Linked DNA regions of Arabidopsis thaliana. The protein of the gene in region 3 purifies or fractionates together with the protein of the main gene of each other region. This does not show direct contact. Each region holds a gene or a part of one and is shown on either strand. Other genes may lie near its edges.

Region 1 (6,923 bases), on a different chromosome or scaffold from region 3:
AGATGTCTTTAAAGGTGTTGTTGATCTTGTGAGGATGAAAGCTATAGTTTGGTCAGGAGAAGAGCTTGGTGCAAAGTTCAGTTACGAGGATATTCCAGAAGATCTTGAAGATTTGGCTCAAGAGTATCGGGCGGCGATGATGGAATTGATTGTTGATTTGGATGATGAGGTCATGGAGAACTATTTAGAAGGAGTTGAGCCTGACGAGGCCACGGTAAAGAGATTGGTTAGAAAAGGAACCATCACGGGCAAGTTTGTGCCAATTCTATGTGGTTCAGCCTTTAAGAACAAAGGAGTGCAGCCATTGCTCGACGCTGTGGTCGATTATCTGCCTTCGCCCGTTGAAGTCCCGCCGATGAATGGAACAGATCCTGAGAACCCGGAAATTACCATTATACGGAAACCAGATGATGACGAGCCATTTGCTGGGCTAGCATTCAAGATCATGAGTGATCCTTTTGTGGGTTCTCTTACATTTGTGAGGGTTTACTCAGGGAAAATCTCAGCTGGTTCTTACGTGTTGAATGCTAACAAAGGAAAGAAGGAGAGAATCGGAAGACTCTTGGAAATGCACGCAAACAGCAGAGAAGATGTTAAAGTGGCTTTGACAGGTGACATTATCGCTCTTGCGGGTCTCAAAGATACAATCACTGGTGAAACCTTGAGTGATCCAGAAAACCCCGTTGTTCTTGAACGAATGGACTTCCCTGATCCCGTCATCAAGGTAGCGATTGAGCCAAAAACAAAAGCAGACATCGACAAAATGGCGACAGGGTTGATCAAGCTCGCTCAAGAAGACCCGTCTTTCCATTTTTCTCGTGATGAAGAGATGAACCAAACCGTCATTGAAGGAATGGGAGAACTTCATCTCGAGATTATCGTTGACAGACTTAAAAGAGAGTTCAAGGTAAAACATAACCTATAAATCTAATTCTCTACTTCAAGCTTCCAAGCTTCTAATTCCTTTTCATCTTTCAGGTGGAGGCTAACGTTGGTGCACCGCAAGTCAACTACCGTGAGAGTATCTCCAAAATAGCTGAAGTGAAATACACACACAAGAAGCAATCAGGTGGACAAGGTCAGTTTGCTGATATTACAGTCCGGTTTGAGCCATTGGAAGCAGGGTCAGGATACGAATTCAAGAGTGAGATCAAAGGAGGAGCTGTGCCAAGAGAGTATATTCCTGGTGTCATGAAAGGACTTGAGGAGTGTATGAGCACCGGTGTGCTTGCTGGTTTCCCGGTTGTTGATGTCCGTGCTTGTCTAGTTGACGGATCTTACCATGACGTAGACTCAAGCGTGCTAGCTTTCCAGCTTGCTGCAAGAGGAGCTTTCCGTGAAGGGATGAGGAAAGCGGGTCCGAGAATGCTTGAACCTATCATGAGAGTTGAAGTTGTTACACCAGAAGAACATCTTGGTGATGTCATTGGTGATCTTAACTCACGAAGAGGTCAAATTAACAGCTTCGGAGACAAACCCGGTGGTCTCAAGGTATGTTTTATTCAAAATGATCGAAAAAACCCCTAAATTGTTAGATGATGAAATCTGATTTTGACATTGTTGTTCTTATTATTGTTAGGTGGTCGACTCTCTGGTTCCATTGGCAGAGATGTTTCAGTACGTGAGTACATTGAGAGGGATGACAAAAGGTCGAGCTTCTTACACAATGCAACTGGCTAAGTTCGACGTTGTTCCTCAACATATTCAGAACCAACTTTCATCCAAGGATCAAGAAGTTGCTGCTTAAACAGATTTTGTTTTGCCTAGACATAAAAACTTATTGTGATTTTGTTTGGTCTATATAGACATGTAAGCTAATCAAATTTGTGAAGACAAGGTTGTTATTGTCTTAAAACGCATGGATATGAGAAAGAAAGAAAAATTGATATATCAGAAAAGTCTGAAAAATGAGAAGAATTCGATCTTAGTGTTTGGAGTTATAAAAGAGTAATGACTCAGCAAAATCGAAATCAATGTCTTGGCTTCGTTTATTTCATCTGGACGATTCCTGAGCTGATAAGCTTTTGGATTTTGTTCATGATCATTGGGTTCTGCATGTGCTTTTGTGCTGCTGCTGGATTCTCCTGGAGATCAGACAGTACCTGTCCAAAGAACAAGTGTTAGATTTTGGTGAGACATATCAACATGGAGATAGCTCAATTTCAGTTTCCAGGATTGCTCCGAGATGTTTGATCTAAACATAGAGAGATTTGTGAATTCTAACATCATCTATAGAAGTGTGTTCTTTACCTGTCTCATTACAGGATCTGTGAGAATGTTCTGAATTTCTGGGTCTTGCATTCCCTTAGCCTGCAATAAGGACGAAAGCAAATCCCAAAAGTTTTAGTTTAAGATCACAGGTTTCTCTTAAACCCGTAACAAAGCAGTTTCAAAGCAGTAATAGAATCTAACCTGTCTTTCTTTCAATTCCTCAGGAGTAAGGTCGCCACGGTTTGCCTTGTTTATCTGTTGTACACATCTGCATGGTTTAAAACATGTTACATAAGCATATTGACATTACTAGATAACAGAAGCGAATAATCTCCCCGTGACTTAACACCTATTTATATAAATACCTTTTAACACCATCAAGAAGTTCCTGGTTATTAGGATCATGTTCGAGACCCTTCTGGTACGTTTCCATTGCATTGTCATACTCCTTCATGAAGAACTGGACTGCACCTTTTCTACTGTATCCCTTTAAGAATGTTGGATCGAGCTCGATACATTTCTCTGCATCTTTTAATCCTTCGGGCATTGCCCCCAGTTTAGTGTAACATGCAGCCCGGTTGCTATATGCCTATGTGACGAGCAAAAAAGTAAACAAGTTATTAAAACAGTCAAATACGGAACTCTTTTTGAGCACAACATTGAAGGATATATGATGATGAATCCGCCTTACTCTCGGGTCTTTTGGATTCCTCTTGATCGCTTCAGTGTAATGTCTCACAGCATCAGGATACTTTTGCTCCTTAAAAAAGTCATTACCTGTGTTACAAAGATGTTAGTTCAGCTACATTTACTGAATTCTAAGAGATTCTTCCTCGCACAAACAGCACATACAATTGCAAAGTATATACCTTTCTCACGCTCCTCATCACCGATATTAGGATCATAGTACTCTTGCTGCTCCAACTCTTTCTTTGCTCTCTCTGCCTCATTCAGTCTCTTCAATGTTTCAGGGTTACGATGCTCCGTAAGAGCTTTCTGGTAAGTCTGAATCACAGGTTCATAGTCTTTCGAGACTTTAGCCATCTTCCCTAAAGCAGTTCCTTTCCTAGTCAAAGCTTTAGCCACCATCTTGTAATCAGACCTAAGCTCTCTACCCCTTTCAACAGCCTTATCACAATCCTTGATACACTCATCATACTAAAACAAAACACATAGACATTAAGACTCATAACCTAACCAAAGCAAATCACTTTAGACTAGCACACAAAAAAAAAAGAACACTTTGAAAACTATACCTTTCCCATCTCTAGATGAACAGCAGCACGATTAGTGATATAAGAGATATCTTCATCATCAATCTCCATAGCTGTAGAGTAATGCTGGATTGCAGTTTCGAAGTCCTTCTTCTTATACGCAGCATTCCCCAACTCTTTCTCCTTCTGAGCTTTAAGCTTCTTCTGCTTCTCTTCTCCAAACTCCGGCTCAGGCTCAGGCTCAGGCTCAGGTTTTCGTTTCTTCTCTACCTCAGGCTCCTTCCTAGAAGGCACAGCCATCTCTTCCTCACCAATCTCCATATCATCACCAGCCTGTTGAGTCCTGATTTGAATATTCAACAAAACTCCAAGAGCTTGCATAACTCTCTGATCTTGCAAATAAAGATTAAGATTACTAGGGTTCCTCTGAATCTCCTTCATCATATTAACAAAATCAGGCTGTTTCAATAACCCTCTAGTAGAAGGATCCGCCGTCAATTTCGACCACATCTCCGGTCCCTGAAAAGCATCACCAAACGGATTGGGCGCGGAAGCGCGTGACCTAGACGCAGAAGCTTTCGCATCAGCTAAACCTGATTTCAAACCTTCGTTACTTGGATCAATCTCAAGCCCTTTCGAATACGCCTCCACGGCTTCATCGAACTGATTTAGACCTAAGTGAGCAGCACCGAGACGGCTATAACCTTTTCCCCAATCTGGTTTAAGTTCAACAGTCTTCTTCGCGTCTGAGAGAGCTTCGTCGTAGTGATTAAGCGATGCGTGAGCAGCGGAACGGTTTGAGAAGAGAACGTGATTGGTTGGTGTTAGGTTGATTGCGTCGGTGAAGTGATTAACGGCGGAATTGAAGTCACCGGAGGAGAAAGCTGCGTTTCCTTTAGCTTTTGCTTCGTCCGCCATAGTTGAATCTGAAAATTTTCTCTTGCAGGTCTTCTCGTTGCTTCTGGAAGATACCTTGAGGGGCTAATGGGTTTTTGGCTTTAGGCGAATAAATACGAGTGTATATATATTTGTTCGATATAAGAGTGTTTGGTTTCGGGTTAATACTATCCTAATCACGTTTATTCATTAAACAGTTCTTTACATAAAAACGTCGTCGTGTCATTTTATAACAAAACCGACTTCCTGTTACACTGTAGCAGAACCGACGTCGTGTAATAACATTAGTGGTTTTATATTAATCGACGACGTATTTCTCTACATTGACCCAACGCTTCTTCTCCGGCACGATTGTTCAGAGTTCGATTTCCATTTTCGGGTCGAAAGGTTGATTTTATTTGGATTTTGGATGGTAGATTCAGTTCCTAAACATAGGAAACTTGAATCTCAGAGTTTTTCGAGTTAGGGTAAGGTGTTTTTTGCTCGTTTCGTTATTGTTGGACGACATTAATGGTTTCCAGCGATTTTACATTACTAATTGGAAAGTTTCTGTGAACTTTAGTGATCTCATTTGTTATCCATGTGTGATTATTGGGTTTATGATTGTGTGTTAAGCAATGTTGAAAAGTTCTCATTTTGTTTGTTAAATACCAATTCCAGTGCTTTGTCCACCAAGTGTTTGTGTTAATTCCTGAATGAGTTTAACGGTTCACAAAACCTCTGGATTAGTGAGAATTATTCAGTATATTTATTTGAAGTGGTGATAATTGGAGGATTTTCTCTTGTGTTTGTAGATGAATTCTGTGTTACTGTTTTATAATGGAGTGATAGAAGAAACCAGAGTTTTTCATTGTTTTTATGAACTGATCTTGTTTGTGGTTTATATGGTTGTAGGATAAGAGAAAGAAACACAGTTGGAGTTATACTGATGAATGGAGGAGGCTCGAGTAGTTTGCGTTCAGCATTGTCCTATTGTGTGCAGCAAGTACGAAACTATGACTATCATCACTACCTCTGTCTCCTTGAACTCCCAACTGAGATGCGTAAAGCAGCATTTGCTCTCCGGGCTTTTAATGTAGAAACCGCAAGAGCCATGGATGTTGCATCTGATCCCAAAATCGGCTTGATGCGGTTACTTTGGTGGCAAGAAGCAATTGACAAACTCTACACCAAAAAGCCCATAAACCATCCAGCTGCACAAGCTCTGTCTTGGGCAATATCAGAACATAACATCAGTAAACCTTGGCTAAAACGCTCAGTTGACGCTAGAATCCGAGATGCCCAAAGAGAAGTAGACGATATACCAGAGAGCATTGCGGAGCTAGAGAAATACGCAGAAGACACAGTTTCCACTCTTCTGTACAATACACTCCAAGCAGGCGGAATTAGTTCAACAACAGCTGATCATGCAGCTTCACACATTGGTAAAGCCAGTGGTCTTGTCTTGCTGCTTAAATCATTACCGTACCACTGTACCAGAAACCGTCACCAGAGTTACATCCCTGCAGATCTCGCTGAGAAGCACGGGTTGCTCGTGAAACAAGGTGGACGATTAGAAATTCTTCTGGATAACGATTCAAGAGAAGGACTAAGCAATGTCGTGTTTGAGATTGCATCTGTTGCCAATGCACATCTCCTGAAAGCCCGTGAACTGGCGGGAAAGGTTCCTGCAGAAGCTAAACCGGTACTGCTTCATTCTGTGCCGGTACAAGTTCTTCTGGATTCGTTAAATAAAGTACAATTCGATGTGTTTGATCCCAGGATTCAAAGAGGAGTTCTTGGTGTTCCTCCACTCTTGTTTCAGTTTAAACTCAAGTGGTATTCATGGAGAGCAATGTTTTGAAAACTTGTCTTTATCTCCCTTTTCTTGCCTCTTTTATTTCTGGTTTCAAAGACTTTACATTAAACTCCAGCTTACTTGTATTTCTTTTGTAATAATACAAAATTACAAATGGTGATGAATACAAAATAAAGAATTTGTTTTTTACTTACAAATAATATACAGTTTTCATATGTTATAATGGAAGAAGCCCATCTTCTTGCATTTTTCTGTACAACAAATCTGATTTATCCCATTGGCGTTTCCTACAAAAGCCTGAGATCATCGTAGTGTAGGACACAACATCAGGCTTAAGTCCTTTGCAAGAAAGGCTACGAAACAAGTCCCACGCATCTTCAACATTACCAATCTTGCACATCCCGTGAATGACGATATTATAAGTAGTAATATCAAGTTCTATTTCACTCTTTTGCATATTCTCGAATAACACCAATGCTTTCTCTACCCTCCAGTTCATACAAAGCCCATACAACAAAATGCTGTACGTCCTAATATTGGGACGAGAATCCATCCGACTGAAAATTTCTTGCGCCGCATCTGGTCTACCCGCTTGAAAATAGCCCTGGATTATAGTGTTGTATGTGATAGTGTCACCAACTAATCCTCTTTGAGCCATCTCGCGGAAGAGTTTCGTTCCTTCATCAACCCTCTTAGACTTGCAAAACCCGTTAATGAGAGTATTATAAGTCACTACATCGGGGAGACAACCCTTAGTTACCATCAAATCAAGCATTTGTTTGGCCTCATCTACCCGACCGTGC
Region 2 (8,257 bases), on a different chromosome or scaffold from region 3:
ATGTTTGATATGGAACTTGAAGATGCAGTTGAAAGCACTATGAATGAAGGAGACGAGGTAGGGTTAGTGTAATTTTTTGCTATCTTTGCAAAATCCCGAAACTTACTCTGTTTAGTAATGATCGAAAGTTACTTGATGACAAGATACCATTTTCTCTTGTTGTGAAATGTTAGACATGACCTCTGGTTTCCTGGAGAAGAATGTGTCATCATTCATAAATTTGATCTCTTTTTGCAGTTTCCAGTGGGGGCTCTAAAACAAAATACTTCAGGTGGAAATGTAGTCTCTGAACTGTTGGACAAATTGATGGTCCTATTTTTTCATCATCTAGAATCCTGTCAAAACTCTGATCGTTTGGATGAGGTATGGCACCAAATGGTACTTGTTCAACATATTTTTCCTTTCCTTTGTGGTAGATTCATTGATCTTTTGGTGTTTCTGTTTTTCATTTTGGCATAGGTATTTGAAATCCTCTTTAAGTCGTTCGAGAACTATATTCTGAACACATACAAAACAAAATTTTCACAGGTAGGCATCAAAGCTATCACCTTACATACTACAAAGTTTTCATTGTAGGCTTCTAGCATTAGTTCATTATCGGCATGTGATGTCTTGGCTTAGACTCACTCTACTTTCATCTGCAGTTTCTGATGTTCTATGCATGCTCACTAGATCCTGAAAATTGTGGTGTGAGATTTGCCAGTAAGCTGTTGGACATATATCTCTCCAGCAACACATGTCGACTTACTAGGCGAGTTTAATCTTGTCCTTCTTGGTAAAGATTTCTCTGCATGATATGAAGCTAATATTGTTCTAATCACCACTTGTGTATTCTTTTGTTTTCTCTTTATACTTAACAGGATGAGTGCAGTGGCTTATCTAGCTAGCTATTTGTCTCGTGGAAAGTTTTTGCCTGCTTCTTTTGTGGCTAGCATGTTGAAAAGGTACGTATTGCTAAAAAATGGAAAATGTAATTGTTTGATCTGATTTAAGTCTCGCTTTGTTGTAACATAGTTTCTCTTTTGCTGAAATCCTAGATTGGTGGACGAGTGTGCGGAATATTGCGGAACATGCAATGATGATGTGAAGCCAGAAGCACATCAAGTGTTCTATTCTGGATGTCAGGTATAGTCCAAGTTTAAGACCATCTTATGGCTTTTGATTCCTTAAGAACTCTTCTGTGAAATCATTGACGTCTCTAGTTATCAATCATTGTTAATGTTCACACCCTTACCAGAAGCTTATTGGCGTTTGGGATCATATGCTATTATGTCATGTATCGCTTAAAGTTGTTACTTTTCTATGACTGTAGGCAATCTTGTATGTGCTATGCTTCCGAATGAGATCCATAGTGGAGATTCCTCGCTTTCAATCGCAGTTTAGATCATTGGAGTCAATTTTATCTCACAAACTAAACCCACTACTGGTGGGTGACTTACACTAATCATTTTCTTCTCATAGCTCAACTGTTATTTTAAGTAGTCTTCACTCCAAGTATCAAATGCATTATGCTTGCACCATTCATTTTGTGTGAACAGGTGTGTCTTCCATCTGTAGTTTCCGAGTTCCTTAAACAAGCCAAAGCTGGTGGTCTGTTCATTGTCTCAGAATCCTTCATTTTCGATGACCTACACGAGTCTGAGCTCTCTCGTGCTTTTGGTGGCTTTGAAAGGCTTGACACATTCTTCCCGTTTGACCCGTGCTTGTTGAAAATGTCTAGCAGGTTTGCTATCTTTACTCTTGATTATTTTTTCTCTTCCAAAGTAAGGACAAATCAATGTGAGAATCTTACACAAGGTTCTTGACTCACTGGATGAATTTACCCGACCTGGGCATATTTGATACAAATTCTACTGCATACATCTTAATTACAGTCTTGAAATGACATTGAAAATTATTTTAATATGATAAAACAAGTGATGAATCAAAGTATTTGCATTGGATAGGCTTGAACTCTCTTTCTCACACGTGTTTTCTTGTCAATTCTTGAAGCTACATCTCCCCGAACTTCAACTTCTGGTCAATGGTGAAAACGACTTATGGAGAAGATGGTGACGAAGAGCTTTGTGATGAGGTCATAGTGAATGGAGATGCAGACAGTGCGGAGGAACCTGACGATGACGTTGAACTTGATAGTGAGATGAACACGATGTCTACAACTCCGAAACACTCTTTCATGCGAGAAACAGAGAGGCTCTTGAAGATGCCTTCAAGAATCAGACCATCCACTAGTCCTCCTGAATCCTTCTTAATCTAATAGTCATAGAGAGAGGGAATGCAATTTTGCAATGTAGGTTTCTTATTACAATCTCTTAGCTAGTGCGTAAACTCTAAAAAAAAGAAGTTGACATGAGTTTTGTGCGAGTCTGTGGTATTATCTGATCGCATGTGGTTTTGTAGCAAAATTTTGAAGAACATCTATGAAGTAAAATTTAGTCAGTTGGTTTATGATTACCTAATTTGAGTTTCGGTTTAATTTGGTTAAGTTGAAATGCTGAATGATTGATTTCTCGGTTTAGTGTTCAATATTGGGTTTACTTTGTCCACAAAATTGGTTAAAAATAGCTCTTTGTATTTTGGTAAATGTCCCGCAAATGGTTAAAAGTAAACCGGGAATTGACCCTCCGATTTAAACCGGTCCGTAAACCAGCTGAGCAATCTCTCTTTAACCTCGGCGTCGGCGTCTTGTAGCTTCTTCTGCTAGGCTTTGTTAATCAGCAAAAACCCTAGAATATCTTAGAGCTTCGCTTCACTTTCAAGCTCGAGACTTTGAGAAAGATGCCTCCGAAAGCCAAAGCTAAAGATGCAGGTCCCGTAGAGAGGCCTATTCTTGGCCGTTTCTCTTCTCACCTCAAGATCGGAATTGTAATTTTTCTCTTCATCTCTCTTTTAGAATCCAAGTTGATTAATTTCGAATGGTGAATGGTAGATTTGCTCATCGCAATACTTTCCTCGATAAAAGTTTTTTTTTTTTTTCTTCTTCTGAGTTTTGCCGGGAGAGATCTATTAACTCATCAGTGATGCATGATGATATTGTTTGTTTCGTTGTGTTTGTCACTGTACTCTTTTAGATGTTTAATCCATATTTAAGAAACTGCTTCTTTGATACAGTGATTAAGGTTGATTGTTCATGGTTGATATGATGATATGGAGAAGTATTGATGTTATTCACTATGGGAATTGTTTGTGGCATCGCAGGTTGGGTTACCAAATGTTGGAAAATCTACTCTTTTCAACACTCTTACAAAGCTTTCAATTCCAGCTGAGAATTTCCCCTTTTGTACCATTGAGCCTAATGAGGCACGTGTGAATATCCCCGATGAGAGGTTCGATTGGCTTTGCCAAACTTACAAGCCTAAGAGTGAGGTAAGTTTGTAACTTTATTTCATGACTTGCTGTTAAGGAAGAGATTACTACTATCTGAATTACTTTATGAATGGGCTGACTTCTGTCTGTTTTGATGCCTCAGATTCCAGCTTTCTTGGAAATTCATGACATTGCTGGGCTTGTTAGAGGAGCTCATGAAGGACAGGGTCTTGGAAACAACTTCTTGTCCCATATTCGTGCAGTTGATGGAATTTTCCATGTTTTACGTATGGTTTTTCCCTCTCGCTTTTTCTCCTAGTGCCAGCTTTGTTTTAGTGTGATGCGTGATTTGATGAATAATTTAGACTGTACTGCTACTTGTGCTGTCTTGAATTTCTACTTGAGCAGGCTTTTCAATGAGAGACAGGTTAAAAACCTTTATATATTTTTCTTCCCATTTGATACCTATAGGGCCATTGCGATAGTTAGTTTATGTTTTCCTCTCCAAGCATATCTGTTCTTGAACAACGGGGATGTTTCTTTAATAGTTGCTGATAGTAAGATATCTTGCCAGTTATATAGTGGTTAGTGACTTTTCGATTGAACATATGCAGGTGCTTTTGAAGATGCTGATATTATCCATGTCGACGATATCGTGGATCCTGTTAGAGATTTGGAGACCATTACTGAAGAGTTGCGGCTAAAGGTGAATCAAATCTCTAAACAGATATTTGACTGCTATATCTCCAAACTCGTGAAATCCTTTCTGTGTATATTAATACAGTAGTCTGTTTTTTGTATTAGTTGGATCTTCATTTCATCCATTGTTGTTTTGGTTTCAAACTGAATTCTTTGGTGCAACTTTAGGATATTGAATTTGTTGGAAAGAAGATTGATGATGTCGAGAAGAGCATGAAGAGGAGCAATGACAAGCAGCTGAAAATAGAACTTGAGCTCTTGCAAAAGGTATGCTATAATTTGACAACCATGCAGTCTTGTTCTGCAAATGTTATTGCTCATTAATTATTAATTGGCCGAAAAAATGACTGTACCTCTCTGGTTTAGGTAAAAGCTTGGCTAGAAGATGGTAAGGATGTCCGTTTTGGGGACTGGAAAACAGCTGATATCGAGATTTTGAACACTTTCCAATTGCTTTCTGCAAAGCCCGTTGTTTACTTGGTGAGTAGTCTTGAATGTTCATCTCTTTCTGTTACCATTGTTTCTATCAAGATAAATGCATTTGCTTCTTTCATATCTATAGTCGACAATTTTGTTCCCTCAATTTTTTTCGGGTCAGTTTGCAAAATGTAGGTCATACTGTCTATTTTTGTGACACTATTTGCCCCCAAATTTAACCATAGTGTGTTCCTTAGCTATTTCTGATCTCTATGCTTTCATGTTTGTTTCAACTATGTGTTTCATCTCAGTGTAAGAACTATTAAGGCATCTTGGTTGGACTTTTTGTGATCACTGGTTACTCTGAAATTTAAATTACAGATTAACCTGAATGAGAGAGACTATCAGAGGAAGAAAAACAAGTTCTTGCCAAAGATTCATGCCTGGTACTAATATATATCCTTTCACAAACTATGTTGAATAATAAGTAAAACATTTTGCCCCTTGGTTGTTGCAAAAGTTTCTAATATGGCTACGTGCTTACACATTTACTTACCTTATTATACTTCTCCTAAACTAAAAATATCTGTTTCATCATTATGTAGGGTTCAAGAACACGGTGGTGATACTATGATTCCTTTCAGTGGTGTGTTTGAAAGGAGTCTCGCTGATATGGCCCCAGATGAAGCAGCAAAGTATTGTGAGGAGAACAAACTGCAAAGGTTAGGAATAAAAGAACAGCACCTTGCGAATGAATAGTTGCTCCTGAAGATGATTTTTCTTTATGAATCTGTTAAATTGAATCTTATGGCCATTGCTGCTTTGACAGTGCTCTTCCGAGGATCATCAAAACTGGATTTTCAGCAATTAACCTCATATACTTCTTTACAGCAGGGCCTGATGAGGTATTAACAGTCCCACTTTACTTGGCTTCACTACACGCTTTAGTCTCTAGTTCTCTGTGAAATTCTTCTAAGCATAATTGTTCTGTAATGAGCTATTTGGTAGTGCATGATCAGTGTTATGTGTCAAGTAGTGCATTGTTACTGGAATTTGATGGTTTATAAAATACATCCATCAATGATACTTTGATTTGCAGGTGAAGTGCTGGCAAATAAGACGGCAGTCAAAGGCTCCTCAAGCTGCAGGGGCCATTCATACTGATTTTGAGAGAGGATTTATTTGTGCTGAGGTACCATTTTCTCATTTCTCTTGAATCTTGGTCAATTCACTAGTTTATTCCTACCTAAAATTTACATGCGTAAAGCCTTTCCCCTCCAGATTTTGATGATTTGTTCTGTTATAGAGTTTATATAATCTTTCTTATGTTTTCACTGACAAAAACAAATGCTTGCTTGCATATTCTTATATTCATCTTGGTGTTGATTTCCTAGTATCGATGCAGGCCTGTAGATATCAAAGCAGAATCCTAATGCAAACCATATCTAATCAAATATTTTTCTGTTTTGAAATTCAATGTGATTTATTCCAATGTTGTTGTTGATGTCACAGGTCATGAAATTCGAGGATCTCAAGGAACTTGGCAATGAACCTGCAGTCAAGGTATTTGTCTATAACTTCTTTTCCTTCTACAATCTCTTAAGGTCTCGGTGGAGTAAGTAGCCTCTAAAAACAGACATGAAAATGTTAAGGAAGCTCTCCACTGTGCAAGATATCCTCGTTGAAGAGGCATGATTATATTTATAATGTTCATGGCGATGACACTTGGTCTAATTTATAATCCCTTCAACTAATGCAGGCCGCAGGAAAATACAGACAGGAGGGTAAAACATATGTTGTTCAGGATGGAGATATCATTTTCTTCAAGTTCAATGTTTCCGGTGGTGGGAAGAAATGAGATCCATCCGTCTGTCCACCTATCCGCGGTGTCCTCTCTGGATCTTGAAGCTCTATCCATTTCCGAGAAAGGAACCAAGCTGTATTTTCCGTTTTTGAGTGGCTTTACCAAACAAGTATTTGTAACTCTTTACATTTTGCAGTTAGCTAAGACATGTCTTTGCCTTTAGACAGAGCATTAAGCCTGCTGTATCGTTTAGAACTCTTTCAATAAGTTTTTCTCTACTATTTGGAAAGAACCTTGAGTAATTGTGCGTGAGAATGAGTTGAAGAAACCCAGCAAACAACTTCTGGTGCACTTATTAGCGAAGGAAACAAATGGAAAGAATGATTAAACGAATACCTTAAGGAAATTATATTTGCAGTGTATATTACAAGCTCTATTACAAAAGAGCTTCTGGATAGATCACAATCAATTATAACAAAAGAACAAAAGAATTATTTTGGGACTGGCCAATCCAATTGCTTCCTCTAAGCCGAATTGTGAAGAGCAGATCCTGTTTGGCTCTGCTCAGTTTCTGAGGAATCTTGATTGGAACAAGCTGGAAGAGTAAAGCTCTCTGGTGCTTCTTCTACCGCTTGGCTGCTCGAAAACGAGTTTTCTCCATTCTGTTTGCGAAGCCAAGCTTCATGAATCTGCAAAACATACTCCAAGCTCCATAACACTTCTCCCATCATTGGCCTGTTCTTCCCTTCATCCGCTAAGCACTTCTCTGCTATCTCCCCATACTTCTCCAACGATTCAGGACTGTAGTTTCCCCTCAGATTTGAGTCGATGATGGACTCGAGGTTTCTCTGTTTTTGCCAGCTTAAAGCCCATTCCGCAAGGTTGATCTGGTCTTTAGGCAAAGTTGGGTTTATAACAGCTCGAGCACAAACAGCTTCGAACAACACAACACCAAAAGAGTAAACATCTGACTTCTCTGTTAACTGTTGCCTTCTAAAGTATTCAGGATCAAGATAACCAAAACTTCCTTTCACAGCTGTACTCACATGAGTATGGTCCATGGACGGTCCAGCTTTCGACAGCCCAAAATCAGACATCTTTGCCACAAAGTTCTCGTCTAATAGTATGTTTGTTGTTTTGACATCTCTGTGAATGATTCCTCTCTCTGACCCTGTGTGAAGGTAATGCAATCCTCTCGCAGAGCCTATACAAGCTTCAAGCCGTTGCTTCCATGATAATGGCGGAAGGTTGCTTCCAAAGAGATGACTCCTGAGAGTTCCATTTGCCATGTATTCATAAACCAAGATCATCTCATTGTGCTCATCGCAGAACCCGATCAAAGACACAAGATGCCTATGCCTAAGTCTTGAGAGCATCACGATCTCGGTTTCGAATTCAGCAAGCCCTTGCTGAGAATGTGGGGTGGCTCGTTTTATAGCTATGAGTGTTCCATCTTCAAGCTCTCCTCTGTAAACCTTACCAAACCCTCCAACTCCAATAGCTAAACCATCATCAAAGTTCTTAGTTGCTGCACGAATCTCGGCTAGTGTAAACTTCCTTCCCATTGTAGATGCTGCAAGAGTGTTCAGTCTCAGCGAGCCTCCCGTTGCTTTGGCGTTTGCAGTACTGTTATTGACATGCAAAAACAACGGACGCCACCCGGGAGGATTGTTTTTCGACTCATCTGATTTGCTTCGCCTTTTCTTGCATAAACATACTACCAAGATTCCCAAGAACACGAAAAAAATGATAATTGCTATACCAGCACCAACACTGATCCAAATAATCCGCATCTTCGAGTCACTTACCGAGTGACCAGTCGAATCAAACCTGATGAGATGAGCAAGATTCCCATTTTTGCTGAGCTTGAAAATCTCAAGACCACTCAGAAGAGCGTCTCCAGAAGCACCAACAGATGAGTCAGGTCCAAGTTGAATCCAGAGAACGTCGTTCTTAGAGGAGACCGGATCCAAGTAATCTTGATATATACCTTTGTTCTTCCCGCCCGCGTGAGCAAATATATCGAAATTA
Region 3 (7,740 bases):
TGGTTCGATTATTTTTGGTATCTTTGTAACCAGCCAAAGCGCCAAACTAAGCAGTTTGTTTGGTATAAAGAATCAAAGCGGCAACGAGTATCAAAGTTTGAGGACCAGAAACGGCTTGCGGAAATCCTCTGTTTTTTTATTAAAAAAAAGTCAAGGGAGAAATCCTTGGGTCACAACTTTCACCTTTATATATGAGATCAATGAAACATAAATTCTAAGTATCAGAAAAGAGTCCCTCTTTATAATCGTTGGAGAGCTCAGTCTGTGATTGACAAAGCTTTCTTCATTCTTGAGACGAGATTAGGCAGAGTCTTCACAGCTTCATCAACAGTTTGGTTTACACAATGCTCCAAATCATTTACCGCTTCACTTCTCGTCTTCTGTTGCTTAGCAACCTCAAACTTGTCTTGACAAACCACAAGAGATCTATTCAACCTCTCCTACATTCATCAGTAAAACCAAAACACCATCTTGAATATCTAGTACTCAAACCCAAGCGCTGTTGTCATGTAATAGAGAATCCAGGAGACAACAAACTAAACTATCTTCATAATAACACATTTGAAAAACAAAAGTTTCAGACCAATCACTAATCATCCATCAACCTCTAATAGAACAAGAAAAAGACTTTAAGACTTCAATCACCAATTTTCCAACGTTCATGGGCATTTGTAAATTTTGCTGTATCAATCTCAAATTGTAACTGGAAATAAAGTTGAGAAATAGACTCACTTGGAACACCGACATCTCATTATCAAAGTAGTTCTGTGCATTTGTGATAGGAACACTGCAACTCTCTGCACATCGACTAATCTCAGCGTGTGTTCTTGTCCTATCAAAGCACTCGTATGCACATTTGAAATATGCCTTCTGCATCAACACAAAAGCACAAAAATAACTAACTCTTATATAAATCTCAAACTACGCAGTAAGCAAACTAAGTCCAAGTACATATCCAATGGCTTCTTCGAAGAGTATACACAGAGAACATAACTTTAGGAATTTAGCAACTAGGAGAAAGAAAACTGAGTCTAGGGAGCTGTGAAAAATCCACTTTGTTTCTTCAATTTTAGAAAGAAGACATCAAAATTTTCAAAAACTTTTTTTTTTGTTTGAGAGAGAGAGAGAGAAAGAGACGAACTTGAAGGGTGAAATTGATGTGGTCTTGTACTGGAGAAAGAAGAGACTGCGACGCAGAACTGACTTCGTTAACTTTCTTTCTAATCCTCTCTCTCACCATCTTCTCCTCCGCCGTTTGATCCATTTTTTCCCGGCGAGTTGATTTATTAGTTCAACTTTGCTCTCACAATGATTCACTCGAAAAAGTTTGGAATCTTTACTTGCAAAAAAATTAGACAAAAAAAGACTGAAAAAGAGAACATTTTTTTACTCCTTCCCCAAGTTCTCATAGGTAGCTTCAACCGCCTCCCATCTCTGAAACACTACCTTATTTGGGCCTAGCCTCTTTTAAATTGGGCCCATTTACGAACATTATCATCTCCTTTAGTCTGGCTCAAGCATGAAGTTACCTCAACAGCCGTCTCTGTTTCTTCTTTCAAAATCTATCAACTTCTCACTTTTTTTTTGTCAAGGGTTTCATTATTATTGACTTTACATTAATTTATAGAGATAAGCATTAAGCATGATCGTCAAACATTGACCAATTAGTTAAATGTAAACTGACATTGAAGATATTCAATTATTCATCATGATCATCCATCAAAATTGCTAAAAAGCCACATGAGTTGTTTGTCGAGAAACAGGGGAAAAAACAGAGAGACAAAACAAAACTAACCTGAACTTAAACAAAACTCCACAGAGAAGAGGAAGACTGAGTACAGACCATACTTAAACTGTTTTAACTACTACAAGTGTGCTAACGGACCAAAGACCAAACATATAGTGACTGGGAAAAACAAAGCTACTAAATCACTGCATCTCAACTTTGTAACTAGACCCACCAACATTATCAGAAAACCATAGTAATCTACACCAATTTTAAGAGCAGACAGATGAAATGAGGAACCGGGAGGATAGGTTTTTGTTTTTGTCTTTGTCCTTTTAGAGCTGCACTTCTCTGTCGTGTATCCAACTGAAAGGAATCTTGGGTCCTTTCTTGGCTCTTGCTTGAGCTCTCTCATCCAATCTCTTGATCCTTGGAGCCAACCCGCATAAATAGTCTTGTGCTTTGTTTCCTTCACCTGAAAGCCCGGTTAAGTCCTGGATTTTCCACCTACCAACCAGAAACTCAAGAATGTCTGCATAGTCTTTGGCGGTGTAAACACCGAGCCTCTGAGCCACGGAAGAGAAGTTGTCAAAGAGGTTGTCGTTGCGCCCATCATACATCAAGTGAGCAGGCATTGAGATTTTCTTTCTCATCATGTCTGCAAAAGCCATGACAGTACCATCAGGATCAATCTCAAAGAGCTTTTCAACTATCTTGGTGTATGCTGTTTCATGACGCTTCTCGTCTGCAGCTATTGTGCCACATATTTGGGCTAGTTTGATGTCCCCGTGCTCTTTGGCTTGGCGGGCTGTGTTTCCGTGAGAGATGAATGTCGCTCTTTCTTGGAATGACGTATAGATGAAGCCAAGGTAGGGGTTATTCTCTGTCCGCGGATCCTATGAAAGATAAGTTAAAGCGATTAGGTAGTTATATTAACCAAGAAATCATGATAATTGCCTGAAACTATCTCACCATTCCAGATCCAATCAAGTACTGAATGGTCTTTTCGATCTGCCTCATGTCAACACGACCAGACAAGTAAAGGTATTTATTCAGAAGATCGCCATGTCGGTTTTCTTCTGCAGTCCAAGCTCTGGTCCAAATAGCCCATGAAGTAGGACTAGCACCTGTTTCATCCCTAACTCCATCCAAAGTGTTCAACATAGTTTGATAGGTCGGAAGTGCTTCTTCTGTGATCATGTCCCCCACCAAAACAACAAAGTAATCATCAGGGAGCTCTCTAGCCCTCTCTCTTAACTCTCTTACCTGATCTTCAAACCCATCTGATGCAGGGTCAGGCAAGAAATCCTGGGGTTGCCAAGACTTCTCCACATCCTTGAGGTGAATCAGAAGGTTCTCCTCGGCCCAGTTTTCCATAGATTTGAAGATCTCGATCTTTTGAGGTGGCATGGAGTGCAAGACTTGAACATGCACTTCCCTGGGTGGCGTAAATGGTTTCTTCAAACTCTCAACCTCCCTGCATTAACCAGAAAATAAGTATCATTAGCATTTAATTATGCTCCATTGAAATTACCAGTCAAGGTCTCATCTCTGATACACAACTGAAACAAGAACACAGTTTATTGTATTTAGATAAGCATTCATGTCTACATTTCCAAATCAACTAATTCTATGTTTGAAGCGAAACAATTTCACAATTCATGACTAGCAAACACTTAGAGATGGTTAACCGTAAGACAATATTTTATATTTGCATTCATGGATTGGTCTTGCAGTTCAATATGAAGCAAAAAAGAAAGATTGTGAAAGAAACAAATGTAGTGACTACTGATCAGACAAAGACAAGATAAAGAGCCAAATGTCTTCAAAACAGAGAAAGAATGAATAATAAATTACAGAAAAGTGTGAAAATTTTGGACGCAAACTAAAGAGAGAAGCCACGAAGTACGCATGCATAGAGAAAGGCCACGAAGCGTGATATCCAACGTAATGTCTTTGAAGAAAGATAAACAGACGTAAACTGATACGTTCAAGAATCTCTTGTCAATACAAAAGAGAAAACTCATCAAATGAGTAAGAAACAAGTGGATAAACATTTCACCATTAAAAATTACTAAACCAGAGAAAACAAAACAAAACTTTCTCTTTGACTAAGAAGCTTTCCTCAATGTCTGTTAAGTCTTAACCAATCTAAAGATCATTATACCATAAAGAAGATAACTAGTGTTAATCTTAACTAACAACCAATCAACGAGCAATCTACATAATCTGATGCAGAATAAATATGGTAAAGGCAACGATTTGATAGATGGGGCAATCTCAGAGAAACGTGAGAATAATAGGGAACAATCAACAAACATCAGATTCAATGAAAAAGAGCATTAATGAATCACCTGAGAACAGAGGATGGCCCATTCTTATAAACCCAGATTAAAAGAACGTACTTTTATTGAAATCACACTCGAGATTAAGCAAATGTAAGCAAATAACACTGAACAAAATCGAGAAAACGTAGATCCAATATCGATAAGAACAAGCAAAACCCAGAACACAGTAAACAAAGATGAAACAGAGAGAATCGAAAGTAGATAAGAGAGACGATGATGGAGAGAAAGAGACTGACTTGGGGCCGGAGCTGAGAGCCGGAGAAGAAGAAGCGAGGCAGAGGAACTTGGGAGATCTGAAAGAAGGAGTTGGCGGACGAGTCGAGGAAGGGAATTTGTAAGGCTGAGATGCCACCAAAGGGTTAAACTTTAGAGCCATTTCTGGATATGATGAATGAATCCTTCTTTTCTACAGAGCTAGAGCTCTCCCTCAATCTCTATCTCTCGGTCTGAGTTTGGTTCTTCTGGCTTTTTCTCTCAGGTTTAGTTTCGTCCACAGAAAGAGAATGCTTATGCACAGCGTTGAGCGTAGCAAGCAATAAGAGAGACGAAAATAAATAATTCTTTTTTTTGTTAAAAAAATTATTCTAATAAGGAAAATGACGTCATATTGTCATTTGTGTGTGAAAAACAAGGTGACAAATTATAAAAATAAATAAATTGGGTATCTGTTCTAAAATACCCTTGAGATGCTTCAATTTTGACACTATTGTTCTTACATATGTCGGTAAAATATTTGTATCAAATAATTATTAGTCAACAATAATGATCAATGATACATCAAAACATCGAGTAGCTAAGTAGCAGTATACTAAATATTAATATAGTTGAGAAAAAGTTGCAAGAAAAAAAAGGGATACATCTTGAAAAGAATTGTTGATTAAAAATTCTTTTATTGAGTTGAATAGTAAAGTTGAAAAAATTGATTACTTTTGAGCACCTATGTCAAAGATGATTATGATTCATGCTTAGTCTCTTTCACTCATGACTTGTGCTAATTGTTAGATGACTCTCCTATATGTGTGATAATTTGGTATTAGATCTATGAAAATTGATGAGCAATGAGAAGGGGTAAAAAGGTCAAAACAAAATATAAAGTGTTTATATTAATTTATGTGAGTTTTGTAATAATCGACGTACTCGGGCGTGAGAATCCACGTAAAAGCCAAATAAGTTTGAAGCATGAAAGAGACAGAGAGGGGACAAGTGGCATAGGATCTCCACGTGGATGTCCCACTTGGCATATGAAAACTCTATAAACCGTACATTGGGTTTAATGGTTTTTTGCATTTTAGCATCATTCGATACTTTTCTGCCAAGTTTAGCTAGCTCAACGTTTTGAGTAATTTGATAGCACAACGTTTTCGGTTTTTCATTGAGACCATGACAACAAATTTAAACTTATTCTTTGTTTTCGTTCCATCACATTTAAGTGTAAACATTAATGCTTGTTTAACATCTCTTTCGGTGATTAACATTAATCAATGGAGTATATACTTCGATTAACATCTCTTTCAGTCATAAATCATAAGTGTGTGTAAACATCCCCATTGGTGTTCACCATACGTTTGTGTAAACATTAGATCTCTTAAAAATATCCAATTTATCCAATAAGTTAGCACACAGAAGAAATATGTAGACTTTTCATAGCTGAAAAACACAACAAGTACTACAACATAAAAGTAAACACAAACGCATACTTTTCAGGTCATGTGTAATTATTCCACCGCCGATATAAGTATAAACAGAAATCAAAACGATACATTCAATACAATCACCAAAATAAAGATATTTATCAAGCAAACACCGTCACATTTTTAGATTTCTCACCAAACCTCGACCATCACTTTTTACCGTCCGACGGAAGTCATCGCTTCCGTGATGGTCAAGTGTCCTTTCTGACTCCTTTGTCATCAATCGAAAACATAAAATATTTACAAACAAACATGTCATATATCATTTCACGACCGAACTCAGCATCACGTCTCAGCGTCCCCGGGAGGTAAAAGGTTCCGTTAACGTCAAGGTACCAATGGACCCTTGTGATGTCAAAACACCAAGTACACTCTCAGATGTCTCAGACCACATTCTGACCTTCTCTGCTTTGACTATATCGAGTAGATTATCTGGAAGCTGCAGATCACCACCCAAGATCTGGACCACCTTAGACATGTCTGGCCTAATTGCTACAGCCTGGTGCGAACACAACACTCCCAATTTCAAAACAAGCTCGAGCTGTTCTCTATTGTCTTCGTGACGGATTCCATCATTGACTGCCTCGAGAATATCTCCGTTTTCCCAGCACTTTAATGTCCATTCAGCTAGGACGACCTCGTCGGAGGCTGTTCTTCGCTCTATCAGCCTCCTACCGCAAGAGACTTCTAGCATAAACAGCCCGAAGGCATAGACGTCTGTCCCTGTGGTTGCTCTTCCGCTTCTTATGAGCTCCGGTGCAATGTACCAGAATGTCCCAGCAACTCTAGATGTCTGAGGATCATAACCCTGATCGTACAACTTAGCCAACCCAAAATCCCCGAGCCTTGCATTCATTTGGTGGTCAATCAGGACATTTGCCGGCTTGATGTCTCGATGAATTACAACTTGTACCCATTCATGATGCAAATAGCAGAGTGCAGAGGCTATGTCTTTGATGATCTTGAAACGTTGATTCCAAGTGAGTTGCTCTTGATTCGCTCTGTGGTAGAGGTACTTGTCAAGACTTCCATTGGGCATAAAGTCATAAACCAAGTAGAGTTCCTCCTTGTACCTACAATAACCCTGAAGCCTGACTAGGTTCTGGTGTCTAAGCCGACCAATTGTCGATATCTCAGCCAAGAATTCCTGCATTCCTTGTTTTGAATCATGTGAAATTCGTTTAACGGCAATCTCTGCATCAGAACCTGGAAGTGTACCCTTAAAGACCTGACCAAACCCTCCTTTGCCTAGAAGTTGTTTGAAACCTTTTGTGGCTTTAAAGAGTTCTTTGTAAGCAAACCTATGAGGCCCACATTGGATCTCCCATTCCTCTAGAACCTCTTTAACCTTTTTATGTCTCCTGTAGAAAAAGATACTTAAAGCTGATGCAACAAGCGCAACAAAGAGAACCAATGCCAAGCTGGTCACCAAAACAATCCGATAAACCAGAGATTTTTCCTTGGGATATGGAGGAAATGTTGGTATTCCCAAGTCCAGGTTTGGAACATCAACGCCGCCATGTACAAACCAACTCAACATGTAATGCATTGCTCTAACAGACCCCGTTGAGGCTGAGAAGCCCACATACATGTTCTCCAAAATATAGGGTGATAGATCTTGGTTCAATGAAAGAAGAGGCTTGTTCGGGTAATAAGCCTCCTCTGGTGATGATAAGGTGACATTAAGCTGTTTTTCCATCTGGCTATACAAAATCGTGACTCGGAGTAGACTTCCACTTATCAAAGAAAGATCTTTAAATTGACCTTCTTGATCATAATAACCAGCAGGAGCAAATTTGATAGACCTCATTCCGTTTATGTTGATACCAACATGGTTATCGTTAATGTCGCCAAATTCCTCATCTTTATTTATATCGAGCTCCACAGCGATGACATGATTTGAGCTATCCCCGTTGTTTGCTTTGTTAAAGATTCCAAGGTACTGATCAGCGGAGGCACCAGTAATGCCTCTTGT
Region 4 (7,822 bases), on a different chromosome or scaffold from region 3:
CACATATCAACGGAAACTATGGAAGTGTTTTGTTTATTTTTATAAGTGATGGATCTGGGAAACAGTATCAGATTTTTTCTCTGAAATACTAAAAGCTGATATTAAAAATAAATAAAAAATAGTATATGAAAAGATGGTAAAACATGCAAAAGCTAATCAAAGGACCAAAAAGAAGACATGTGACCACCATATCCCCCTTTTACATATTTCTATGGTAGAAAGATAAATACTAATCTATGCTATATAATAATACATATATATCCTCTCAAACTTGAACAAGCATATATGGAAGATTATAAACAGTGGTTTCTACTAGGGAATTATTGTTGTATACTTGTATCAGAATTCCAAAGTGTATTGTTTTCTAATCACTAAATGGAAAACCATTTGGAGTTTATTTTTTAATACAGATTGTCTTTTTGTAAACAATATCTATAACAAAAAAAAATACAATAAATGTAGCTCTCCTATAAATAACACCTCACTCGTGTATACACACATATGCCTTTTAATTGAAACGCACCACAAATAGAACAAAGAACCCCACACACACACCAATGGAACCAAAGCTAACCCATCTTTGTTATTGCCTTCTACTTTTTCTTCCACTACTCTGCCAATCCACCATAGCCAAACCTTCATCATCACCAAACCCTAGCAGCAGCATCAACTTCATTGTCTCATCATGCCGCGTCACGCGTTACCAAACTCTCTGCGTCAAATGCCTTGCCGCTTTTGCAGACAAAATCCGCCGCAACGAAAACCAGTTAGCTCAAACCGCTTTAGCCGTTACTCTAGTCCGGGTTCAGTCCACGACAATCTATGTAGGGAAGCTGACTAAAGCTAGGAGAATCAAAAGGAGAGAGTACTTAGCCGTGAAGGATTGTGTTGAAAATCTTGGAGACGGTTTAGAGATGTTGGCTCAGTCGATGAGGGAGTTGAAGCAAGTTGGTCGATCTGGTCGTGATCGAGACGAGTTCTTGTGGAGACTAAGTAACGTTGAGACTTGGGTTAGTGCTGCCTTAACGGATGAGACAACGTGTCTGGATGGGTTCGATGGAAAGGTTATGGACGGTGTGGTAAAATCAGCGATTAGAAGAAGAGTGGTTCATGTGGCTCGAGTTACTAGTAATGCATTGGCTCTTGTAAACCGGTTCGCGGCTAGGCATAAGTCATAGAATATTCGGCTAATAAATTAAAATTCGGTCCTTAATAAGGTTTTGTCATGTATTTTCTTTTTTGTCCTAGTGGGTGATTTGTTTCTTTATGATACTTTGTATTTATGTGTAGGCTTGGGATGTTTATGCTTTTGTCATGGTTTCGACTAGAGATAACGATGATTTTAACGGGTTTATGGAGAAAAAGAATTGGCCACAAAAATTGGATGAGCTCCTACATTTCAATATAGTTACGGTCTCGGATATAAGCAATGGATGGCCACAATAATGTTTACCATTTTTAACCACTCTAATAACCAATGCTGTTTTCTAAAATCAGATGAGTTTCTTACTTCACACATATACACTTTTTCTAAGCATACAAATTATAACCTCTAAGTTGGACAAATCTCCTACTTTCTGCATACCCTTTAGTGTTTTTGTTCCTTTTCACGGAAACCATTAGACCAAGAGCTAGTCACTTTACTATTTGAATAATCTTATGATGACATTCTTTCCACATAAGCTCCATTTACTTTGGTAGTTTGGGAGCAGGTGTGAAAATCTTATCACTAGTCTAAAGTTAAACACTAAGTGCTCTTTTGATTTAATTTAAATAAACCTTCGGATTGTTAGCTTTTGGGAAAGACAAGTCCAAGAAGTAACGGTGAAGAGTGATCATGGAAGCAAATTAGGTACAATTATGGAAATACAAATATTTTTAGGCTGTTTGCCACATGAACAAAACATGCAAGTATATATGAATTATATCCTCTTAAATTACTATTTAACATCTATTAACCCTTTTGCATGGAATGTTTATGAAAAATCTATGCAAATTCTATTGCAAGAAAAAAAAAAAGTACTCTGTAATTTGGTTAACCATCGGTACACCTCCCCTTACGAATTTGTGATTTGTGTAGTGAACCGATTAACCGAATAGTATTTATTAGGAACATGTCATAATTTTGAAAATAATCGTTAATTAACAAAATAAAAAGTTATGGGAAATAGTTTTATGTTCTAAATCAAAATTCAGAAATTATTACTTATGTTTTTTCAGTTAGCAAAGGAAAATTACATATCTTAGATTCTGAAACTTAAATTCTAAAATTAAAACTCCTAAACTTTCATAGATTTTAAAATCTTAAGATCTTTTTGTTTTTGTTTTTTGGGCAAACAAAATCTTAAGATCTAAATCTTAAAATACTTTCCACAAACCGTTCCACTAGAGAAAAATCTATATATATATTTTTTTAAACTATATTTTGTATTAAAGAAAAGTGGAAGAGAAAATTCAACACAATCTGATTATTGCACAATTTCTTAGTCACCATAACGTGTGCAATGCACGTGAGGCCCGTCTAAAAAGACTTTTATTCCTCTGTAAAAGAGACATGTAGAAAACAAAAAAGATTTTACAGCTTTTGACTTTTAAATTATAATTTTCGACCAAAAAAGAATTATAGTTTTTTTTAAAATTTTTTGACAGCAATTATAAATTTCGTTTGAAGATTCTTTTGAGAAAATTCGAAGAAGTAGCATATAAAACTAGGAGAACACAGACTTGATTCATTCTACAACAACTCCTCAAACATGACCCAAACCAAATCAGAGTTTCATCAGTTTAACAAAAGCCCAAAAGAACGCAGTGAAAATTTGGAAACATCTTCGGTTTGATTCAATATACCACTCCGGTTTAGCATAACCAATTTACCGGACCTGAACAATTCCGGCACTAACCAGCTTCTGAATCTTGTTCATTACCATTGGGTTCTTCATATGCTCTTGTGCAGCTTTCGGATTCTCTTGAAAGTCCACTAGTACCTACAATAGACATCATCACACAAGTCTCACAGACAGCTTACGAGTTAGAACACAATGCTTGCCACTGCTTTTACCTGTCTCATCACTGGATCCGATAATATGTTCTGAACTTCAGGATCTTGCATTGCCTTTGCTTGTCTCTCCTTCAATTCTTCTGGAGTCAGATCACCACGGCTCGCTTTGTTTATCTGTTCCACACATCTGAAAACAACAACACTTTCACTAGACCGATCTTTGCAAGGTTAAACAACAAAGAGAGAATGCCAAAATTTGCAAACCTTCTAACACCATCAAGGAACTCCTGGTTCTTAGGATCATGTTTTAGCCCTTCTTGATACGTTTCCATAGCTTTATCGTATTCCTTCATGAAAAATTGAATAGCTCCTTTTCTACTGTATCCTTTCGTGAAACTTGGGTCCAGCTCAATGCATTTTTCAGCATCTTTCAATCCCTCTGGTAATGCTCCTAACTTTGTGTAACAAGCAGCTCTGTTGCTATATGCCCTCACGTCGTTCGGGTTTCTTTTGATTGCTTCTGAATAATGCTTCACTGCCTCTGGATACTTTTGTTCTTTAAAGAATCCATTACCTGCATCAATGAAGAAGTGTCAAATGCTTAATCCTAAAATCAAATCACGTTTCAAGATAGTAAGTGTAACTGAGGATCAGTATATATACCTTTCTCTCGCTCCTCCTCGGCTATCGTAGGATCAAAGTACTCCTGTTGCTCCAGCTCTTTCTTGACTTTCTCAGCATCGTTCAGTTTCTTCAATGTATCTGGATTACGATGCTCTGTAAGAGCTTTCTGGAAAGTCTCAATCGCAGGCTCAAAGTCTTTCGAGCATCTCGCCATTTTCACTAGAGCAGATCCTTTTCTAGTCAGAGCTCTTGCTATCATCTTGAAGTCAGAACGAAGTTCTCTGCCTCTTTCAACAGCCTTGTCACAGTCTTCAATGCACTCCTCGTACTGATAATTTCATTTGAGAAATGAAGTAAAACATCACACAAGATACAGTAAGATCCAGATGAACCAACTGTTAATTAAACAAGACTAATGCAAGAACACATAGACCAATGGAATTGAACCACTCAGGATACTTGAAGATTAATTGATTCCAGTAATAATAAAGATAACCACTTCTACAGAACAAGTGAATAAACTCCATCATGAAGCCATAAACCCTAAATTTCTACCTCATCTAAAGCTAACTACTTTCAGCACAAGTGAAAACTTAAGTTCAAAACTCTTAAATCTCCAACAAGAAGCAGATGAAAGTTATCAAAACCCATCAAGGTCATCACAAATGTACTAACTAGTGACAAGCTATACTAAACAGATAAGCTACTTCAAGAACCCAAGATCTCCTCCTTAATCTTAAAGTACCTAAAGGTTTAACTTTTAAGCCAAGTATAAGACTTAATACCTTCCCCATCTCAAGATAAACAGCAGCACGATTCGTCAAATACGAAATATCCTCATCATCGAGCTCCATGGCCTTAGTATAATGTTCAACAGCTCTCCCAAAATCCTTCTTCTTATAAGCAACATTTCCTTCCCCTTTCTCCTTCAAAGCCTTCTCCTTTCTCTCCTTCTTCTGCCTCTCCTCCTCCGTCAACTCCATAGGTTCCATCTCCGGTTCAGGCTCTTTCCTCTCATCAGCCTCCTTCATCTCAGTATCTTCACCACTAGATCCACCAAACTTCACATTCAACAAAACCCCTAAAGCCTTCATAACTCTCTTATCCTTCATATACAAATTAAGATTATTAGGGTTCCTCTGAATCTCCTTCATCGTCTTAACAAAATCATCCTGCTCCAAATAAACCCTAGTCCCCGGATCCGCCGTCAACTTCTCCCACATCTCCTTCCCTTGAAACGCATCAACAAAAGGATTCGACTTTGACGAAACCCTAGATCTCGAAGCATCAGCTAATCCCGATTTAAGCATCTCATTACTCGGATCAATCTCTAATCCTTTCTTATACGAATCAACCGCTTCATCAAACTTGGACAATCCAATAAACGCAGCACCTAATCGGCTATATCCTTTAGACCAATCAGGTTTAAGCTCTATAGTCTTCTTCGCGTCTGATAAAGCTTCTTCGTAACGGTGGAGAGAAGCGTAAGAAGCGGATCTGTTTGAGTAGAGGATGTGATTGGTTGGTGAAAGGTTGATTGCTTCTGTGAAATGGGTTATTGCGGTGGCGTAATCGCCGGAAGAGAAAGCTGCGTTTCCTTTGGATTTTGCTTCTTCCGCCATTGAATTGGATTTGGTTTAGGTATCGTGAGAATCTGCTTGATTGCATTTTTAAAAACAGAGGAAGATGAAGAAGAAGGCACAAGAGAGTTCTCGAAATTTCGAATTTTTTTGTGTATGTCGAGAATGTTCTTTTGTAGCCGTGGAAAAATGTTTTTAAATCTTAAAAATACAAAAGGAAAAGAAACGCTAGAGAAAGGGGTCGAACCTCTGACCTTGTGGTTAACAGCCACACGCTCTAACCAACTGAGCTACTCCAGCTTTTTGATAAGTGATTCGTTATTTATGTAAATATACCGTCTAGAAAAGAATAAACATCCGTTTATGTTCTGTGCTTACTTTTTTATGCTATGTCTTTGTCTTCTGTCAGAAGATTAAGCGTCAGAAAGACATCGTGGAGTTAGCAACGAGACGATCAAAATTCTTCAATCCGAAGTAGTAGTAAACCAGAGGTGAGAAGACGACCAGTTTGGGAGAGAAAACCAAATCGGAGGTATGTATGGTGATTAAAGTTTTGGTTATGATAAATAATATCATCATAAGCGAATAGTTTTGTACGTTTTTGGTTTAGGTTTTAATCAAATGTGTCTTTACTTTTAATAAGTTTAGGTTTGATATTTGGTTTTTTTGTTTTTTTCTAAACATACCACATATAATCATATATATTAATACTCAAAGAACAAGTAGTACATGGTTTCTCCAAATACTTGTAACCAACCAAAGTGGTAAACTACAATCTAAAAAGCAAAATACAAATCACATGAAGATGCAAATTTAGCAAGTGCATCTCCTCTGCACATTTGTTCTCACCTCATCTTCTAAATTTTAACATATTTGATCACTTTCCTACAATATGATTTGAATTTGTATTCAAATTTGGGAAATTTTGAAAATTACCACCTTTATGATACCATTTTTCAAAAAGACCAGAAAAAGGTTGTTCAAAAATTCTAGTTTCATATCATTTCTTAAGAAAAATCTTCTAAGCACTATAAAACATTAAAAATTTTGTGAAAAATCTTATAAATGTTTGATATTATGCATTATAGAAACTTTATAAACGTTTTTATAATATGCTCTATAAAAGTTAATAAAACAAATTCTATGATTGCATTTTGTGTTACATTGAAAATTAACAAAAAAAAAAAACAGTGGTATTATTAAAAAAAAATAAAAATCATAAAAGTGGTATCTCAAAAATTCTTCTGAAATATATTTAGATAGAAGTAATTTCATAATTAACATTATATGGAAATTCTAAATATTGATTGTTTCACTTCAATTGGGGTTTATAGTGGATGATAGGTTTCAGATACAGCAATACACCATCACTCACTGTATTTGATATATTGAAATATAAGTATTCAAAAATACTGATAGCCCAATTTCAGTTTTTTCTGTTTTTTTTTTTTAATTTCAGTTTTTATGTGTGTAATTTTATAAGTTAGAACATAATTTCAGTTTTGTTCTAACTTATAAAATTACACACATAAATCTAAACCATATAGTATTATAGGATGTCAATGTGGTCTATCATCCATGAAATAAACTGATACAAATAATTATCTTGTATTTATGAATCGGTATTTATCGTATAACATAGATGGTAAAAAAAACTAATATTCACAAATTAAAGGAAATCATCCTTCTCTGTACTGTATAAGTGTATATAAATTTTTTTAATCCTCTTTTGATTTTTGACTATTTTATAAATTCAAATTATATAATCTTGTAAGAATTTTTCCTGCGGCAATGATCCCATGCAGCGATCCTCAACTGGACTTTTTCAAAATCCGAAACCCGACAAGGAATAGTGATCCGACCCGGTTGATCAAACCCATGAACCCGCTCCGCTTGCTCCAACAATTCTCCAAACAATGGATGATTAAAGTAAATCACCGGCACCACAACTCGCCGCGTGTCATCGTCTGATTCGCCGACATGAACCACCAAATGTCCTCGAGGAACAACCCGGTTCGACTTTTTCGGATCCTTACCCAACCGGATCTGATTCTGACCCGGATTCTTCTTGCTTCCACCGCACAATCTCTTAGCTCCACGGCTTAAACACCGTGCTAATGACCGGATTCCGGTAACCGGGTTTGTGATTCGGGTCGGGCATCTGTTTCTTGGTATCCATTTGAAAATTTTGACAAATCTGTGTCCAATTTTGAACCCTCTGACTCTCTTCATGCTTGGTTTTAATCAGATTCCGACAAAAAAAAAAAAAGTCTTTGGTGAAAACAATGAGATGGGTTTGTTTGAAATCGAGTTTCAAGAAATGGGTTTGATTCGAAAGAAATAGATTTGGAGAAAATTTTGGTTTTTGTTTTTTGGTATCTCTCTCTGTGTTTTATGTTATAGAGTTGAAGAAGAAGACTGTTTGGGTATGGGGAAAGAGGTTACCTCTTATATAGCCTTCAAGGAGCTATGACTCTTATGTGTGCGTGTGCTTTTTAAATGTGTCCACTTTGATGGATAGTTTTCCAAATACAACTTTTTTTTTGTATTTTTTGTTATATTTTCGTATCATTTATCATCTTTTCAAAATTTAGGGAACTTTTTTTTTCTATTCAAAACA

The links.
Region 1: the proteins of SSI2 (region 3) and Hop2 fractionate together in Arabidopsis thaliana (co-fractionation; one large-scale study listed by BioGRID). This does not show direct contact.
Region 2: the proteins of SSI2 (region 3) and AT1G30580 fractionate together in Arabidopsis thaliana (co-fractionation; one large-scale study listed by BioGRID). This does not show direct contact.
Region 4: the proteins of SSI2 (region 3) and Hop3 fractionate together in Arabidopsis thaliana (co-fractionation; one large-scale study listed by BioGRID). This does not show direct contact.

What each region holds. Positions count from the first base shown.
Region 1 is NC_003070.9:23,228,446-23,235,368, reverse strand, and holds Hop2 (stress-inducible protein), read right to left. Parts: upstream 4,448-6,923; 5' UTR 4,344-4,447; coding exon 3,468-4,343; intron 3,370-3,467; coding exon 3,081-3,369; intron 2,989-3,080; coding exon 2,903-2,988; intron 2,801-2,902; coding exon 2,577-2,800; intron 2,480-2,576; coding exon 2,413-2,479; intron 2,311-2,412; coding exon 2,251-2,310; intron 2,103-2,250; coding exon 1,989-2,102; 3' UTR 1,826-1,988; downstream 1-1,825. Other genes in the region: SCO1 (Translation elongation factor EFG/EF2 protein), read left to right, coding at 1-907, 979-1,491, 1,580-1,747; AT1G62730 (Terpenoid synthases superfamily protein), read left to right, coding at 5,251-6,165; NG1 (Pentatricopeptide repeat (PPR-like) superfamily protein), read right to left, coding at 6,338-6,923. UniProt on the Arabidopsis thaliana protein: Mediates the association of the molecular chaperones HSP70 and HSP90. Mediates nuclear encoded chloroplast preproteins binding to HSP90 prior to chloroplastic sorting.
Region 2 is NC_003070.9:10,829,976-10,838,232, reverse strand, and holds AT1G30580 (GTP binding protein), read left to right. Parts: upstream 1-2,597; 5' UTR 2,598-2,778; coding exon 2,779-2,865; intron 2,866-3,198; coding exon 3,199-3,366; intron 3,367-3,469; coding exon 3,470-3,593; intron 3,594-3,920; coding exon 3,921-4,012; intron 4,013-4,173; coding exon 4,174-4,272; intron 4,273-4,371; coding exon 4,372-4,485; intron 4,486-4,803; coding exon 4,804-4,868; intron 4,869-5,027; coding exon 5,028-5,144; intron 5,145-5,251; coding exon 5,252-5,327; intron 5,328-5,521; coding exon 5,522-5,614; intron 5,615-5,934; coding exon 5,935-5,985; intron 5,986-6,181; coding exon 6,182-6,280; 3' UTR 6,281-6,560; downstream 6,561-8,257. Other genes in the region: AT1G30590 (RNA polymerase I specific transcription initiation factor RRN3 protein), read left to right, coding at 1-57, 238-363, 460-528, 645-751, 861-944, 1,038-1,125, 1,313-1,426, 1,539-1,723 and 1 more; HERK2 (hercules receptor kinase 2), read right to left, coding at 6,751-8,257. UniProt on the Arabidopsis thaliana protein: Hydrolyzes ATP, and can also hydrolyze GTP with lower efficiency. Has lower affinity for GTP. Exhibits GTPase activity.
Region 3 is NC_003071.7:18,116,817-18,124,556, reverse strand, and holds SSI2 (Plant stearoyl-acyl-carrier-protein desaturase family protein), read right to left. Parts: upstream 4,685-7,740; 5' UTR 4,451-4,684; coding exon 4,311-4,450; coding exon of another isoform or gene 4,307-4,310; intron 3,204-4,306; coding exon 2,699-3,203; intron 2,623-2,698; coding exon 2,062-2,622; 3' UTR 1,668-2,061; downstream 1-1,667. Other genes in the region: AT2G43720 (FAM136A-like protein (DUF842)), read right to left, coding at 258-440, 733-870, 1,142-1,264; AT2G43700 (Concanavalin A-like lectin protein kinase family protein), read right to left, coding at 6,058-7,740.
Region 4 is NC_003075.7:7,335,996-7,343,817, forward strand, and holds Hop3 (stress-inducible protein), read right to left. Parts: upstream 5,367-7,822; 5' UTR 5,245-5,366; coding exon 4,408-5,244; intron 3,951-4,407; coding exon 3,662-3,950; intron 3,573-3,661; coding exon 3,263-3,572; intron 3,186-3,262; coding exon 3,059-3,185; coding exon of another isoform or gene 3,029-3,058; exon of another isoform or gene 2,985-3,028; coding exon 2,871-2,984; 3' UTR 2,023-2,870; downstream 1-2,022. Other genes in the region: PME1 (pectin methylesterase inhibitor 1), read left to right, coding at 558-1,178; AT4G12410 (SAUR-like auxin-responsive protein family), read right to left, coding at 6,961-7,434. UniProt on the Arabidopsis thaliana protein: Mediates the association of the molecular chaperones HSP70 and HSP90. Mediates nuclear encoded chloroplast preproteins binding to HSP90 prior to chloroplastic sorting. Involved in acclimation to heat.